Linked DNA regions of Arabidopsis thaliana. The protein of the gene in region 2 interacts with the protein of the main gene of each other region in a pairwise test. Each region holds a gene or a part of one and is shown on either strand. Other genes may lie near its edges.

What was found.
Region 1: the proteins of KNAT6 (region 2) and BLH2 interact in a two-hybrid assay, tested with the Arabidopsis thaliana proteins (one large-scale study listed by BioGRID).
Region 3: the proteins of KNAT6 (region 2) and AT1G35490 interact in a two-hybrid assay, tested with the Arabidopsis thaliana proteins (one large-scale study listed by BioGRID).

Annotation. Positions count from the first base shown.
Region 1 is NC_003075.7:17,365,816-17,372,249, reverse strand, and holds the start of BLH2 (BEL1-like homeodomain 2), read right to left. Parts: upstream 3,336-6,434; 5' UTR 3,078-3,335; intron 3,072-3,077; exon of another isoform or gene 2,895-3,071; 5' UTR 2,828-2,894; coding exon 1,649-2,827; intron 803-1,648; coding exon 411-802; intron 1-410. UniProt on the Arabidopsis thaliana protein: Transcription factor that establishes leaf shape by repressing growth in specific subdomains of the leaf. Negatively regulates knox homeobox gene KNAT1/BP expression.
Region 2 is NC_003070.9:8,299,995-8,306,428, reverse strand, and holds the start of KNAT6 (homeobox protein knotted-1-like 6), read left to right. Parts: upstream 1-3,828; 5' UTR 3,829-3,936; coding exon 3,937-4,257; intron 4,258-4,395; coding exon 4,396-4,524; intron 4,525-4,625; coding exon 4,626-4,764; intron 4,765-6,434. UniProt on the Arabidopsis thaliana protein: Plays a role in meristem function. Contributes to the shoot apical meristem (SAM) maintenance and organ separation by controlling boundary establishment in embryo in a CUC1, CUC2 and STM-dependent manner.
Region 3 is NC_003070.9:13,058,483-13,064,916, reverse strand, and holds AT1G35490 (bZIP family transcription factor), read right to left. Parts: upstream 3,369-6,434; 5' UTR 3,165-3,368; intron 3,072-3,164; 5' UTR 3,062-3,071; coding exon 2,532-3,061; intron 2,318-2,531; coding exon 2,242-2,317; intron 2,138-2,241; coding exon 2,011-2,137; intron 1,921-2,010; coding exon 1,751-1,920; 3' UTR 1,462-1,750; downstream 1-1,461.

The DNA.
Region 1 (6,434 bases), on a different chromosome or scaffold from region 2:
TTTATTTTCTTTATCTTTTCACTATATACAATACAATCAAGTAGACGCAAGAAAAAGTACAGACTTTTTCCTAACAAGGGCGTGAGAATCTAACAGACAAAAGAAAAGTTGATGATTACATATCATCGATCCAGTTTTTTTTTTTTTACTTGGCTTTTTTTGTTTTGTTTTACTCTTAAAGCAATTTGTCAGAGAGGTGAAAATAGTACAAAAACACTACTCTTTTGCTTTATTTCCATTTTTTCGTTCACTCTCGTTAACAATAAAATAGCAAAATTCTAGAGACATAGTACTAAAGAAAGTAGAGGTGAAATAACGAGAAAATAAATACTTTTTCTCAGCTTTTTTCAAAATTCAGTTTCTCTATAATAATTAATAAATAACGAGAAAGAAAGAAAAAATTGACTTACGGGTGAAGGAAATGTTCGAAGAGCCAAGCTCTAAGTATATTGACGGAGCGTTCAGGCAAACCGCGTTGTGGCCGCCAAGCTTCTTGTTCCATCATACCCATTTGATGAAACGCACGGTTCTGACGCAAACTTTGCTCTAGCAAACGCAAACGCGGAGTTTCACCTTTTGTTAACCCGGAAGAAGAGATTCCCGCTGCATCTTTGTCCCCAAGAAGTTCGCAACTCTGCTTAAGCTGAGCCGCAACTGCATCTTTAAGGCATCTAAAATGTCTTGACATAGCTTTTTGAGCCAATGCGGTGTACGGTAATGCCGCACCGTGGCCCATTACTATGTCGAAAGAGTTCACAACCATCTGCATTTGCTCGCAGTAATGGTTGTACCGTCGGTCCACCTGCCAACGAAACAAAACTATACATTATACAATCCATAAATATCAATATTTGCCTTTTTCTTTTAATTAATGTTATTGTTAACTCGTGTGTGTTGTGTTATATGTTCACGTGATTATTATTTAGTGTAGATTTTATCACGGGAACCTATGCTTGTGTACGAGCATCATCTAATAAATAAACTAATGAGATTAATTAGTTACCTTTAAACGAGACAAAATAAGAAAATAAGATATTATATAGACAAATTATTGACCAGAGAATATACTTCAATGTTTGCGCAATCCTACCAACAGCACATTTTATCGTATCCTCGAGCATAAACTAAAATATTTATTTCTAGTGAGAAAAAAGCAAGGTCAACTAAAAAGTAGATAATTCAATTATGGGTAAACAAATAAGTAACGTCAAGGGTTAGCTTTAGGACGTAACTGGAGAGTAGCTTATATGGAGAAGGAAACGCCAATTACATAATTAATCGTAATTATTTAATGCATTTTCTTTGATTAATCGATTCCACCAAACGCTAAGCATCAAAATATTCAATATACTTTCTAATACGACCGTCACACGAGCAAAATGATTAAATTAATTTTAATTTTAAACAAATGATGGTAGGATTGCGCAATCAAACTCTACCAAAATAATCAAAAATAAGTAGTTAATCGAGAAAACAAAAGACCAATTCAGTCATATCAGGTTTCTTGTTTCTTTGTCATAACTCTTGGATCAATTTATGAATCTTATCGAAATGTAACGAAAACAATTTTACGTAAAATGTATGAACTAATATCACTGTAGAGTATAGACAAAGTCAAAATCAATATTAAAAGTTAATATGAACATACCTCTTCAAGCATGGTGAGTAGTTTCACTTTCCTTCTTTGATGCTCAATCCGATCAGACGCCGATAAAGGAGGATGCTCCTTGTTTGCTCCGGCCGACGAAGGAGAGCTGCCACCACCATCACCACCGCAAGTATTAGGGTTTGAGCTGTTCCCAAGTTTGTTCTTCTTCAAAAATCCTCTTCCAACACTACAAAACTCTTCCAACAACTCTTGCGCGGCCGTTGTGTACCTCGAGTTTCTTAAGATATTGACCGCTGCCATGGAAGAGGAAGAAGCAGCCGGAGATGATCGGAATTGGTTTAATACTTGATGGTGATGTTGAGAAGAATTAGCAAGAAGAGTCTTGAATTGATTGTATTGATGATGAGGTGATGCGTTAGAAGAATTGGCTCCGTAGTAAATGTTTCTATACTCTTCCGCTTTTGCTGCAGCCTCTAAAGACGATGAGAGAGATAAGGACAAGCCTTGTCCTCCGTGTCCTCCGCTGTTTTCCACGTGGACGGTCCCAATCTCCGTTTGGCTGTTGTGATGATGATGATGATGATCGGGAGAAGACTGCCACGTCGATATCTGCTGGTGATGCTGATGTGGAAGCTGATGCATAGACATATGATTAGTGTAGTTCTGATGGTGAGTTGTGTTGGTGGATGGACTTGGAAGTAACATGTGAAGAGTTGAAGAATTGTGGTGGCTCCTTGGGGAAGTTGTGGATGACGGAGACGGTGGTTGTTGCGGTGGCGGTGGATTCATCAAGAATAACTGCATGGCGGCTGCGGTGGCGGTGGCTGAATCCGTAGCATTCATAGCCGGAATATTCTGATGTTGCTCCTCAAGCAACTGCCTATTTGACCGGAAAGATTGGCCGAGGTCGAGATCTCTTCCTCCACCGCTGCTTCCGGGGAAATTAAACATTTCGGATAACATACCGGCTGATTCGTAGACCGGAATCCTACCTCCGGCGACTGAAGATTCCTCGTCCATCTCTACCCTTTGATGCTCTTGCTTCTGCTGAGTTGTTAAATTGGGAGAATCTGATCGGTCGAATCCATTAGAGAAGTTGAAGATACCTCCTTGGTGTTGATTATGATGATGATGATGATGATAATCTTGGGACATAGAATTATTGTGAAAAGTCTTCAAGAGAATTGTAGTATTAGGAGAAGTTTTAGTTATTCCCATATCAATACTTCAATCTTTTTCTTCATGATATATGTTAATATCGTTCCAGAGCTCTCTCTCTCGGATCCTGTAATGATTCAGACAAAGAATTTAAAACATATGTAAGTCAGAAACTAGGTCTTACGCTGTTTTTTTGTCCATCTATCTACATCACCTATATAACTGATGATGAACAAAGACATAGAGATATATATATGTAGGTATCTATATATATGTATGTATGCAAAGAGAGAGCATAAGAAGATAATACCTTTGGAGTTTGTTGCAGAGAAGATAATTGAGCTTAGGTATCGTTTTCTCTCTCTCTTTCTCGCTTTCTTTTTCTGGACTCTCCTTTTCTTTCTTACTAAGAGTTTATTCAGAATTCACAAATATTATAAAAGATATATATATCGGAAAGAAAAATATGCGAGAGAGAGGTCACTCTTCTTTCTTCTTCGTCACCCTTTTTAGCCCACCAATCTTCTTTATTAGTTGGTTTCCTATATATATATAAAGCTGCTCGTGCAAAAAAAAAATCGGTGATTTTTTAAACTATGGTTTCTTATGAAAGATTTAGTTGAAAAGGTTAATAGTAGGATTGAAGGATAGAAATTTCTAAGATGCGTCTTTTTTTCACGTAAATGTCTTCTGCCATTAACAATTTGAAGATGTTTATTTTCGTAATTTTTTTTTTTTTTTTTTAAGTGAGTACAAGGTCATATCTCAATGATACGAACCACCACCATAAATTTTAGTAATACTATCGTGACAAAAAAAAAAAACATATATAATATTTAAAATACTGCCATATTTATATTTCCCATAATACCCTCATCTGTCATTCTTCTGATTTCACTGGACTGACTCGCAGATAGGGTCAATTAAGTCCATATTTACGTAACTGGTCATTGTTGGTGCATAGCTCCCCAGTCCTCATCAGCATAATTTAAAGTCTACACATTTATTTTAAATGTAGCATATCTCTATTATCTTAACCTGGAATACCCTAAAAGATCTTCGTAAATAAAAAACTTCATAAAAAAAAAAAAAATCTTCTTAACGTTTGTTAATTTTTTTTTTCTACTACATCAAAATTGAATTTACTTACTTTATGCGAGAATATGACTCTCTAAAACTCCGTACGACTGGTCGTAATCACAACACCACAACAAATTAATCTCATATAATCAATTGATTTTAAGTTCTAACCACAAGTTAATTATCCCTTCCAATCGACTTTTCAGGGAAATGACAAATTAGTTACATATTAATTAGCATTTTCTAATGATAACATAATATATCCCACATACATATATACCAATACAGTGTTAAATAAAATGTAAGCTGTATTTTCTAACAATTAGCATGGCCGAAGTAATAATACTCATGCAAAATAATGCAAAGGCTAGAAAAAGTATATATTCAAACTATTTTTTCCGGCCATCGATCTTGTGATCATAAATTAAATTTTACTACTTGAGGGTCGAGTACGATGTAACTATGAATGGCTTGAAGGATAATGTAATGAAATTCGGTGTGCATTTTTTTTGTTTGGTGTATCAAATAAACAATAAAAGATGAGAGTTCGCACGAGCGGGAGTTGTGGTTTGGAACGTGTGAAAGGTAGGAGGACGGTTCAGAAGTCAAGTGCTCAAAATGTTAATTAGGTTTATGTGGGGGATAATCTAGAAAACCGATGAAATCGACACATAACCGTTTTTTTGGTTCAACAGCTTTGAGTTCGAGTACTTGAGTTTCTTTTTTTGGTATGGCTAGACTATATTTTTAATTCCATGGTTAATATATAGATATCGGAATTTCTTTCTTAAAGCGGTGACATATTTCGTATCACGTCTGTCTTGCTAAAAAAATAGCATTCCCAAATTCGAGTTTTGGTGCATATCCCACAAATGGTTAGAGAAAGTATTAGATATCGCACCGTAGGCATAAGTCCATATTGGGATAAATAATTAATGGAAATGTCGAAAGCACAAGTGTAACTCCACTTATATAATAACATTGAATTTTGTTTATTGTGTGACACCATGTGGGAATCTTTCATGTCAAAATCATATCAGCACGCAAATTCTGTTATTTTTTATTTTTTATTTTTACACAGTTAATTCATGTCGGAGTAGTAATTAAAATAAAATAAAATAAAAACACTCTGTTTTTCCATTTTAATATTCCCTAGAAACGTAAAATTTCATAAAAATACGTTGCAGGTTTTATTTTAAAATTATAGCTACAAAAGTTTTATGTTCCAACTACAAAACCTGGAATGACAATTGACAGCTTAACCTTTCTACCTTCCTACCGATATTTTTTCTCGTTTTCTATTTTTTCCTTTCTGAAATAGAAATGGTTCAATCTCTCTCACGTGAATCCCACCCTCCTTTCACACGTATGCACAACTATCTGTTACGTGCCGAACCTTCCTTTTTCGTACGTGTGGAGAGGATCTTCTTCTTAGGCATTTATACTCTTTACCCACCAAAGCCAACTTGTAATGGATCCTTTTTCCTCTGCTTTATCATATCTTCAATGGTGTCAATTGTCTAACCTTCAACATATTTATTAGTCTCTTCATTTTTATTTCGACACGTTTCCGCTTTTCGACCTCACATGAACATTCAATTTCATAGTATCGAATATTTTGATTGATTTTTTAATTTCTGCGTCTTATAACCAAAGCTATGTAATGTGTTTAACTGTTCATTATCATTGAAATGTGTTCGTAGTTTAATGTAACCGGTGTATTTTGGATAGCTCTTGGATCAGAAAGTGTGATCATGTTGTGAGGTTGAGTCATTTCGACAACACAAAGGAGACTAATTTACTTGCTATGATCAGTAAGAATGTAAATCTTTAGTTGATTTTTTTAAGGTTTTAGATGAATGTATAACCTATAAATTTGGTCCTACGAAAAACAAAAAACATGAAAGCAAAGACAATGAGTCCATAAAACAAAATGTTTGCTACCAAAAATCACAAACTTATAAAGAAATATTTACACAATTAGTTTTTCACGAAAACCAAATGATTATATATATACAAACTCGTGGTGATAAATTATGATTAAATATGAAATGTTATTATATATTGCAATGATCTGTTATATCTGTCGTGATAGGTTTCATATTACCTGACTATAACAACGTTGATTTCCAGATCCTGTTTTCAGACAAAAGGATCATGAACTAAGTTATTGTTGAAAAGGCTTTCATCGGGTTTGGTCTTTTAAGTACGTTGAAGGAAAAATTATGAGTTATCATCCAGATTCGATAAAATTAGAGTTAGGTTTGATTTGATTAAATGTGGTGCAATTGCAATTTGTTAGAAGATTAAAGTCACCACTTTCTCTAAAGGAGATAAAAAAAGGTTTGATTAGCCAAAAGCTATTACAAGGACTCATAATATAGTCTCATAGCCACGTAGGTTTGATTTATTGTCTAGTCAATATACCATATGGTTTCATATCCATCAATCGTCGTCATATGAAATTCTGCAAACCATTATTATGCCTCATGAGTTTGAAAGTTGCCGGAATTACATTCTTTTTTACTGATTTTTTTTTTGGTAATTTCTAATTAGTGGTAATCTCCTTTGTGAGCTTAAGATTCAT
Region 2 (6,434 bases):
TTTATTTATCTTTTTCGAGCTAATAAAACCACAAAGAAAATGTATTCATATTGTTTGTCAGATTGTCCACGTACCGCATTTGGATTGGTTTTTTCTTGTCACGTTTGGATTGGCTAAAGTTGATACTTTACACATTGGTTGAATATTTATTTAAATATAGTTAGAAACAAATTTTGGCTTACGTCCATCAGGAGGTGATGGTGTATATAAGGCTTGATTATGAACAACAAAGACCGAGACATTTGGTGCTCTAATCAGATTTCTAATCCAGAAGATTTTTGGTCCACAGACCACAGATATATCTATTCTGGGTTACTTTGTCCCTTCCTATAATAGCAGGTATGTTCACATTTAACAACTTTGTTGAGTGGGAGGTTTTTTTCTCCTAACATAAATGAGATCAATTATTACTCTGTTATGCTCAATCATGTCCAAGTGGTATTATATAATTCTTTCAAATAAACCCGCAATTTCTCTTTATGATATTAACACTGATTCCGAACTTTTATACCAAAAGATTTTCAAATGATTCTTATAGTTTTATCAACAAAAAAAAAAAAAAACAGATTCTTATTAGTTATGAATGGGCATATACAACCATTGCTCGAATCATATCAATTATATATCTTACAAACATTGCTGGAATAATATCGATTATTTGTTATGCATCATATTCCAAAACTAAGATATCAAGGGTTTTTGCAAAACAATACCCACATAAATATAAAAATTCTAAAATTAACAGGTTAAATACCGATATACCTAACCTAGATCACTCCTTTATTTGATGTAAAACACTTGACTAGTCGGCTACTCGGCTATAAACCTATAACCAGATATAACTATCAATTCAAATATTAAAAGTGTAACAACTAACAAGTGGTTCAAGCTGATGATGGTATGGGTATAAACTAGTAATCCTAACATTTTATAAAAGTTGGGTGAGGATCAACGGTCGGGATCCAAGGGAATGGGATGGAGGGACCAAAGCTGTGTTTGTTTTTTATATGGATTCATACGAAACCGTAACTTTGTGTCAGATAATTTTCGAACAAACATGGCCCGAAAATGGATGGGTCAATCAACCTGTCCATCAACGAAAAGACCCTTTTAACACTTTTTTTTAATAGAGAAAATAGAGGAACATATTTGATAAAATATTGGTTTATAAATCTTGTTATTGTTTTTCCGTTGATGATTTACATTATGGAAACAAGGTTTCGAAGCACTAAACTCATTAAATATGGTTGCAAATCTATAAATATTGGCTAAAAAATCATGGCTGGTCACTATGAACGTTGGAGATTAGTTTGGAAAAATTCCATAGTTATTAAAAAATGGTTGAGAGGCTTAGTAAATTTCCTCAATAATTTATTTGTTGGATCCTAGGTCACAATTAGAATGGACCACGAGCCGAATTATAAATTCAGTACTTTAGCTGCATGTATAATACGTAGACGAACTTTATAATTGGGTTACATATATTTATGTCGTCTTACATTATTTGGTGATAGATTATTGCAATTATATAGATAGGTAGGGAGATAGGTACAGAAAAATGAAAAGAATCTATCAAATCACAAAGCCTAGATATGTTGATGGAAAATGAATATAACATCGCACGTAGTTTCCTGAGCTCAATACTCAACATCAGCATCCAAGTGGCGCATCGCATGGATAACCAGAGAAAGAAAATATTGAACATTTTGATTGTGTCTCCAGAAAAAATTTGTATTGTTTTTTCTCACCAAGAATATGCATATGTGAACAAATAATATGTTAAATAAATAAATAACATATTTTCGTCTGATCTTTGCCAATAATAAGAAGGCAAACTCGTTTGTGATATATATATTGTTTTCGCTTTTGTGACTTCATATTTATCTAATTTCAAGTCTCCTTTCTTTAACTTAATTTCCCCTTGATTATTTATGATACGTTAGGTGATTTAGAGCAACCAATAGTTTGCAAGTACCTTTAAGATGAAAATGACTTTCTCTAGTCTTTGAGAAAAAAAATAAAAACAGAAACAAAGTTTATATTAAAGTAGTATGAAAGAACATGCCACTTTCTTGATTGAAAATTATATGATAGACGTAAAAAGCTGTCGACAAAACTAAAAGAATAGTTCCATTCGAAATATTATAGATGCTCTCGTTCTATTTTCTTTTTGGTTAAAGTGCTCGTTTTTTTCTTGATACTCTCTTTAAATTACGGCCAATTTCATAATTTCAAACTTAATACATATGTAAAATCATTAAATATACCAAATTATGCTTATGTCTATTTTTGTGAATAAATTACATAGTTCATTTTCATAAGCTAAAGTCATCATGAATATCAGCATCATCAATTTTGGCATAAATTTCATAAATCATAAATTAGCTAAGACCATTGATTTTGCAGCTCCTATACGCCTAGACCAGCGTTTATTTTATTCTTAGTTTTATCCACAAACTTGCTTTATACAGAACTATTCTAAAGTAAACACTAGCTGATACTATATACTAATTTAATCTTAATTAGACGATTTTCCATTAGGGCCTTCTTATCTACTATCTAGGAACGGACCTTCGCTTCTCGAAACCCATTTCATCCCGTACAATCGAAGTGTCCAACATCCGAGTTGGTAAAAAATTTCTTACTACGTAGTAGGTACTAAGAATCACTTATCATATCCATATATTCTTCACATTTGATTTATTTCATACCATCATTTGAATATATATGTGTTGATTATCATTTTGTTAGTAGTCGTGTTCGATAATTTTGTTCTGTATCTAGCAACAAATTTACAGTGACAAGTATTAAAATAATACCGCTCTTTAACTATATATATGTATGTATCAGCTCACTAGTTGTTTGTAACCAGTTCTTGTTTTTCCAGTTTGATATATTCGATTCAACATACCCAAAACATCTCTCATATACTGAACTAATATCTATTTCTAATTGACTCGATTCAATATCATTAGTACTATATTATCTTCTGATATGCGACTTCATTTGTTTTCTTTCTTCTGTTCGGTTTTCCACTTGTTGTTTAACATTTTCACCTTGTTTCACTATTTGCAATCAAATAAACGATTTATGTAGGTGTATCTATATATGTTCTTAGGATCATAATAAAAATATATTTTCTACAAAGTTTTTCGAAAATATATATACATTGGGGATTATTTTTTTAACTGTCTACAGCTCACACATGCATATTATCATATTTGAATGAAGATAACGATACAATGCCGATACTGATACAAATCATTATGTTAGATGCTCAATTTGTTTCTATAGGTCCTATAATATATACATCAAGTCATCAACTATACTTTTTGAAAAGAAAATTACACAGAGCTTTCAAATAAGTTGCGTGTAGTTTAGTGGTTATATGTACTAGTAGTTATGTTACCATCTAAGTGTATTGTCGATGAGAAAAAAAAGAGTTCAAATAAACTGACATAGTATGCTGGTAAATAATCACACTTTTTCCGTTTTTTCCATTTCGTTTTCAATAATATATAATTTTGTTTCTCGCCATGTTTCATTGATATTAAAAATCTCATGATCATGCAAATTCTATCATAACACAGCCTTGGACCTTTCTTAGATATATATGTTAGGAAGGCCTTATCTCGACCTATGAAGCCTGAAGCTCCATTGAGCCTTTTAGCATATGTCCTTTTTCGTAATTATCATTTTATTTTTCTTCTCCGTTAACTTTCATATCTTTTTTCTTCCAAAAGAAAATAAATTAAGATCCCTCGAGCCTCTCTCTCTCTCTACACACTCCCATAGAAATAAATATTTTCAAGAACCAAAAAGTTTGTTATAAGCGGTTTCATATTATTCTTCTTCATCGATTCTTGATTTTGCAAGAAGACAATTCAAGAAAGCGATTTAGAAGACGGAGGAGTTCTTACCGGAGATCTTATACTTATGGATGGAATGTACAATTTCCATTCGGCCGGTGATTATTCAGATAAGTCGGTTCTGATGATGTCACCGGAGAGTCTCATGTTTCCTTCCGATTACCAAGCTTTGCTATGTTCCTCCGCCGGTGAAAATCGTGTCTCTGATGTTTTCGGATCCGACGAGCTACTCTCAGTAGCCGTCTCCGCTTTGTCGTCGGAGGCGGCTTCGATCGCTCCGGAGATCCGAAGAAATGATGATAACGTTTCTCTAACTGTCATCAAAGCTAAAATCGCTTGTCATCCTTCGTATCCTCGCTTACTTCAAGCTTACATCGATTGCCAAAAGGTGATCGTTAACTCTTTCTTTTTTTATCACTTAGATAAAATCTAGGTTTTACTTTTTAAAGATAAAGATAAGATTGAGAAGCTTTGATATTTGATTGTTTTTTTTATAATTTTATGGTTTAACAATTTCATAATTTAGAAACAGGTCGGAGCACCACCGGAGATAGCGTGTTTACTAGAGGAGATTCAACGGGAGAGTGATGTTTATAAGCAAGAGGTTGTTCCTTCTTCTTGCTTTGGAGCTGATCCTGAGCTTGATGAATTTATGGTCTCTCTCTTTTTTTCCCTCGATTTTTTTTCGGATTTTTATTTTTGTTAAAATATTTTTTTTTGGAAATTTTTGTACTTAAGAAGATAATTTATTATCAGGAAACGTACTGCGATATATTAGTGAAATACAAATCGGATCTAGCAAGACCGTTTGACGAGGCAACGTGTTTCTTGAACAAGATTGAGATGCAGCTACGGAACCTATGTACTGGTGTCGAGTCTGCCAGGGGAGTTTCTGGTATGTCTTAAATTATCCCTCTCTGGTTCGGTCTTTTAGTGGTTCTATTTTGTGGTTAGTTCTGAATGATTTCTTTTGATCTTTTCCGTGGTTTTTCATTAATAATATCCTTTCCTCGATATTTCCATAGGGTTTTGATTCATATGACCAGTTTCTGAAAAATGATTGGTAGCTTGTTGATAGAATAACCCTAGGCTTTTGAAGTGATCAGAAAGCAAAATAGATAAAAAATGAAAAAAAAGAAGATAAACCCTAGCTACAAGTTTCATTTCCATAGCTATTTTTCCCTTGATGGGTTTTGTTTTGTGTGTGCTTTTCTTTTGGGCACGTTGAAACTCTGGAGACAAAGATCTGTTTAAGGTGTTGTGCAATTATTTTACTCGTTCATTTAATGTTTTAGCCATGGGATTAGGGTGTTGGAGTGTGGTGGGGATTTCCTCTTCTTCTTGTTGTTGATCTTTGTGCTAATCATACAAATTTTACTTTATATCTTTTTCTCTTCTTTCTCTGTCAGAAAGAAAATGGTGTAGAAAGCAATAAACTTTTGTGGTAGAGATTCTGATTTTGACGTTTCAGAGGCTTGTTGCGTACTGAATGTTTTTTCAACTTGTTGCTTTTTTCTAGTGAAAAACCAATTGACAGAAAAACCTAGTCATAACTTTTTAACAATATGTGTAGTTGATTTTTCATGAGCTTCTTTTGCTTCACTTCTCGTTTAACAATAAGTAAGTATAAGTACTAGTCATAACTCATAAGTCGCTTCACTCTTGTTTATGGGTAACAACCTTATTAGGTTACCAGTTTTTCTAAGACTTCAACTTCTTTTGGTCAGATGATTATTAATAACCAATAAGCCATAAGAGTTATTAGCTGTAATTCCTCTTTAAGCTCATTCACAGATTCTCTGGATCGGAATTAATAAGCGTGTTTAGATAATTTTACGATTAAATTTCTGTTATATCTTAATAACACACCATATAATTTTTCTATCTAATTAAATAGGTTAAAACAATAAAGTTAAAATTGTATTTTAAATTTAATATAGAAGTCTACAAAACGACATTCTTTGTGAAATAAAAATTTAATCCTGAATTCGACATTTATTATGAAGAACGTAACTTTGGTCTATTTCAAGTTTCAATGATCTGAGAACAAGAGTAGGGAGATTTTTGTTGATCATCGGAAATAGTATCATTGCCAAGTGGCCACTCTTATCTGCATGTTCTTGTTGGAGTCTTGTTGGACTTATATGTAAGTAATAAACCAAAACTGACTCAATTTTGAAGCGATTTAAAAGTCTAGGTTTTATGCTTATACATGAATGAAATGCTTCAAATAAGTGACTTTCTTTGTGGTTTACTGATATTATCTCTTTAGACCACATATTGTACTACAACTAGCAAAAACATTGTGGCCATAACAAATCAACCGATCAGGTTAGCTAGAAATACTGATCCTTAGGAGTTTTTTTTTTAATACAATAAAATAGAAGAAAAACTCCAGCTGAAAGAGTTAGCTGTAAAGAAATGAAACTCCATAGATTGGTAGACTTTTTTTCAGCTTTGCAGGAGTTTTCCATTATCGTGGTCGATCTCAAATGCAGGTTCCACTTGTACTTTGGTAATATTGTTTATTGGGGGAAAAAAGCTGCTGATATATAAAAACATATC
Region 3 (6,434 bases), 4.8 Mb from region 2:
TGCTTTAATATATTTATTAAAAAATTAATTACGTAAAATTTTAAATATTTGAAACCCTAATTATTTTCCCAATCCACATTTTTCGTTTTAAGTTTGCAATTGTACAAAATAATTATCACTCCCTAAAACTTTATTTTTTGATTTTTATTAAATTTTGTTCTTTTTCTGACAAAAATAAATTGTACATCTATTAATCTAATATTGCTCATTCAAATAATATTAACAAAATGCTCAAATTTAGGCTATTAAAATAAAAAAAGTTAGTCAAAAGCACAAGTATATCAATCCCAAATTATGATTAAACTAAATATTTATTTATAATAATTTTTACCAAAACAATAACATTATATATATTAAAAAATTTGAAGTACCTTTTTAAAGTACTTTTGTGTTAGTAAAGTAACAATTTAGAAAGAATATCATCACATTAAAGACAAAGACAATTCTTATTTTTTAAATATTATTATTGATATATCTTAAATTTTTAAACATTATTAATATTTAAACTTAAAAAAAAATAAAACATCATGAGACGAGAAATATATTTTAACTTTATAAAATATTATTAATATTTAAACTTATAAAAAATTTAAAATATCATGAGATGAGAAATATAGCGGAATGAGTTTGAATTGATATGAAATATAGCGGGACGGGTTTGGATTCATATAACACAGATTAAATATTTATTTTATTATTTTATCATCACTAAATTTTTTAGTTACAACATTAATATAAAATTATATAACTTTAATACTAAATTAAAACCGTAAAATTTAATATTATTAAATATGAATAAAACATTTGCCCCGTGGTATACCACGGGTTAAATTCTAGTTAGAGTTATATATTCGGAGATTATTTAGATTTGAGAATTTTTCCTAATCTAATAGAAAAAATATATGAACAAATTGGTTAATTTTTGTAACTTAGGGTTAGAAACTAAACAAAATAACAAATGATACTGCAAATCAGTTATTGAAAGTCTAAATAATACGCAATACAATCTTTCTTAATCGTTGTCAAATTTGTAAAGTTTGTATATATAGTATCTCAACTTGAAGTTCTCCCGACGATGCTGAAAGACCATTTAAAAATAAATATATATATATATATATATAATGTATGTAGCCATAAAATCTTTTAAAAGATATGGATGAGAATTATATTTCATATCAGTTTTTTTACTTACTATGATTAATATGCATTTTTTGAGATGGAGGGTAAAATTAAAATACAATGGCGGCTTAAAGGATTTTTTTTTTTACTGTTGCATAAACCCAACAAATTACTATGTTTTCGTAAATTCATTTTTTAAATATTAATCTTAATTTTCATATTATCTTGACTGGTGTATAAAATAGTATACAGAATATTTATATATATATATATATATATATATATATTTTTTTTTTCCTTTTATTACTAGAATCGGTCACAACTTGTATATATATAGATAAAGGAAATTGTCAAAAAAATTACTTATTCATATATATAATAGATGAAATAAGAAGGATTACAAGTTATTACATAACATGAAGTTTCTTGACAAGAGATTCTCTACCATGCCATAAATAGAGAGAAATGCAATAGAGGAGGATATGGGCAACCACATTTTGATTTACATAACGATGCTTTTTTAGGTTTTCATTCAAGGCTACAAACATCAAGTTCACCTATGTTGTATGGACATTAAGGTAGAGCAAGAGGAGCTCAGCTTAATCTGAACAATGTATCCATATTTCCTAAATCATATTGCCAAGGCTGCAAATTGGGCATCGGGTTCTTGTGTAACAGGTGGTTGATATTTGTTGTATCGATTTTGTATTGCTTGGACTTGTTTTTGGTTTTGCTGTGGTTGTTGTTGGTGTCGTCGAAACTGTAGGTTTCCTATCTCTCTCTCAAGCAATTGCTGCTCCACTGTATTAACCAACCAAAATCAAAATTTTACAAGAGAACAAAATAAATGCATTTTGATCCATTTTAGTAGTGATATGAAAGGTTAAATACCATGTTTAAGCTTTTGGATTTCTGCTAAACTATCCATACGTTGTTTTAAAGCTCTATTTTCCATGCTAAGCATGAGTAACTGCTGATCCAAGTAGTGAATGGCAGATGACATTTCACATCCTTCAACCTATTGAAGAAAATCCAACATGTATAATATAACATTAGGAATCTTTTCATATTATTAATGAAATTAAAGAACTTCGAGAAATACACGAGCCTTTAGAATCTTACTTGTAGCACTTGGATGGTCCTTTCAAGGTCTGATATGTACTCAAGCCTTCTCAAACGCGCTCGATGAGCATTTTGACTGCATTTTAATAATTTTCGATAAAATTGTATATTATTAAACCGCATCAGAAATATGTTTATCAACCTATATTAGGAATGTGGTCTAACTTATCCCAACAGTTAGCTCAAGAGTTAAGGATTGCCAGATAATGCCTAAAGATCTTAATCTCAATCGATGTGGGACATTTTAATAACCTATTATAAGTACACATGACAAAGATAAGACTACTTACTGTTTGATACGTTTTGAGTCAGTCTTTGATCTAGGACCATCTGGTTTTGTAGAAGTTCCTTCTTTCATTTTGCTTACATGTTTCTCAATGGGTTTCGACGACATATTTAAAGCTCCGCATGACATATTTCTTTGGATATTAGTTCCATTTGCTGTAGAGAAATCCCATCCTAATTTATTGTGTTGTTCATAAGAGTTGGACTGCCACAAATCATAGTTCTGGAACTGCCAAGACGAACCAGCAACATGATTTTCCTTCGAAGGCATTAAAGCTGAGTTCAAGTAAGCAGCTGTGTCACTAGCTGAACGTCTATGACCTTTGTTAATCTTAGGTGATGCTGGCTCACTTAGGAGCTCATCGAGCCAAGCTGGTTGGTCTTCTGTGAAAAGATCATCTAAAGAAGCACTATGGTGGTGCATATTATTAGGAGGAGAAATGTTATTTTCCATGTTTTTTTGGGGAACTCGTGATTGTGATCTTCCAATGAATCCGAAATTTCCCGGGTTTGACAACCTCCTTAAATTTTCCATTCTTCAAAACCTATAAGGTATGAGCAAAACATGTATAAGAAAACCATTATCATGTAATGACAAGAATTGAAGATACAGTTTCTTTAACATGCAAAGAACATACCTAAGAAGACGTACGAGATTAGGAGACGTGTGATTGTTAGACCTTCCACGGGGAGGAAAATGGCATAAGCTCCTCCCGTGTGGTTGGTTTCGATCACCTCTTCTCCTTAGAATGCAAAAAAAAAAAAAAACAAGAAACAATCTCTAGATCACTAAATAGAGGAAGATACCATATTGAAACAATCCATGTTGATGATTTACATTGCGTGGTTTTCGTGAAAACAACAATTCTTGTCCTTATGCTTTATTTGGTCTATTATTTTCTCAGTTATTTTTGCTTTTTCACTTTCCCATAATAGACTCCACCATTGGTTTATTCAGACTGGGTTTATTGGTACACAATACTACAAAAGCTTCGAGGAATTCTTTCATTTTTTATTCATCGAATTTGTATAGTAAGCTCCGTAATATTTTTATGTGATTTATCTACACGCTTCTAATAGATGCAAAATCAAAATATTACTCTCACTATCATATGAGATTGACAATGTAATGACGTGGGACAATTTCTTTCTTTTTTTAGTTAATAATCTTTTCTATTTACATAATTATAAAATTCTAATGTTATTATGAACTTATAAAGTACTAGATATACAATATATATATATATATATATATATATATATATATTTAAGAGAACTATAAAAAAATAAGGAGAAACTTTGTTAAATATTAAGAAATTGATATGTTCAAATGTTTAATAATTTGCACTTTAAACTCTAAAGCTGAAATTTAGTACGAAATGTTATCAGCTTTAATTTGATAAATAATTATAAGTGATAGTTTGCACTTTGTAGATTCTATACCATCTCTATACTATTATTTGAGAAATGTTGTTAGCAAAATAACTAGATGTTACTAGATTTTAATCCGCGGTATACCGCGGGACGATTTATTTTTTAAAAGTAATATATATTAAAACTTGCAAATTTTATTTTATAAAATATTTATATTTTACAATTTATAATTGTTATTAACTAACGCTATACCACGAATCCATGAGACAATTGTTAAAAAACTGAAGTTTTAACCCCTATTAAAACAGCATATTAATAATATTTTAAAATTTTATAAATATTAATTCAAATACATCCGCCATATAACTCAATTCTAAAATAAAACCCGTTCTGTAATTTCTTTACCCGTCCTGTGATTTTTTTTTAAGTAGTAATTTTTAAAATTTAAGAATTATTTTTTATATAAAAGTTTTGCAAATTGTATCATTTTCTAATACATTTATATTTTATAGTTTAATTTTATATATAGTAACATTATACATACCACATAACATTTTTTGTTTTATATAATCTTTTCTAAATTAGGATGATTTGATATGTTTAATATTAGTGGTCTTAGAAAATAATAAATTAAAGATTTAACCCGTATTGAAACGGTGGATTAATTATATTTTATTTTTTTTATTAATGTTGATTCAAAAACCCGTCTCTCTAAATCTGTCTTGCCAAAAAGCCATTTATTTATTAATATTATTTTTATTAATGATATGACTCTGAATTATAATCTAAACATTTTAGTTAATAACATAGGAGTGCACCATATTTATTTAATAGGGGAATGTACCATATGAGCCGAACGCACTTTTATCCAAATCCACCAAAAAAGTCTTGCAAAAATACTATAGAGATAAGAAACGATTGTCGGTTTTGATAGGTATAAGATTAGCAAATATATTTGTTAGCTTAAATTAGTTAAAGAATACAAATTGAAAAGGTATATTACACTTTATTCGAATATAGTATCAAAACTTATATAACACAGAGATTTGTTATTTTTTAATTGTTGAATATTTTTTTTTGTGCTAATTTTTATGTGATTAAGATTTAATTGATTTCGTAAATAAAATATTAAATTGTTTACGAACTTATTTGTTTATAATTTGGTAATAGATAGATATTTGAATATTCAGTATATTTTGCTTCAGTTTAGGAAATCTTTGATGACCCATCTCTAGATCCAATAAGCCCTATAATCTAGATATTAACCTGCAGTATACCGCAAGTAGCCTTATATTTTAGTTAAACTAAAAACTTTTATTGTAAAGATGATTTAAAAATATATGATATTATTTTATTTGATTTTAAATGTATAGTAAACTGTGAGTTGTATATGTTTTGTTGATATTATCTATATTGTTTAGTGTTTAAGATTATACACTTGTAGTTTGATTGTTAATTTAAGAGTTTGACATGTAGTATACCATCTTGTATTAATATCGATCTAAACCCGTTAATTCTAGGATTTTCCAGCTTGTATTAAAAATTGAATCACATCTAATATGTTATTAATTATTGTAGTATATAAGATTATAAATTTTCAATATAATATGTATGAAATTGAATAGAAATAATTCAAATTATGACCAGTTACTCAGTAGAAAGTTTTCTTAAATCTATTTTTCATCCGTTATAATTTTTTTCATGTATTGAACAGTTTATATTCGTTTTTAAAAATTCAAATTATGACATATGCGAAAAAACTCAAATTATTTTTTTATAATGATGATATTATTTTTCGGCAAAAATAGAATCATATAAAGATGAGAAGTGAACTATAATAATTAATAAAAAATTAATATGATAATTTAGATATCAAATCTAATTTGTTGATTTTAATTGGTTACTTTTTTGGAAATTAATAATGCATTTCATTTTTCTAATTAAATTAAATTAATTAAAATTTAGATATCAAATCTTATATGTTGATTTTGATTGGTTATTATTTTTGGAAATTAATAATGTATTCCGTTTTTATGTTAAATTTAATTAATTAAATTAGTATTTGACTTTTTAATCCTTAAAGAGATAAATTAATTTATTCTTTAAAATTTTATTTCTAATGGCATACCTATGTAATTACTTACAAAAATTAAGGTTACATTTAAAATGTACTTTCCAAATAATATAGTAGGATGTGGGATATTACAAAATATGCTATTGGAAAATATTTCAGCTAACATTTTATTATTTTTATTTAAAATGACAAAAATCATATCTTTCATATATTCAAATTCATTATTTAATTTTTCAAAATATTGAAGCAAACGAAATGGGATAAGGCAACGATGCCAACAAACATCAATTACGTTTGTTTAACCATAATTGATATCCATAAATAGTTCTCAATCATTAATACAAAAAATCGTACTAATACCATAAGTAAACATAATATATCATGTCTTCTCTTAATTTTCCAAATTTGCTATTATTAATTTTTATGAGTTGATGAATTTCTCTGGGTATCAACATGTTTC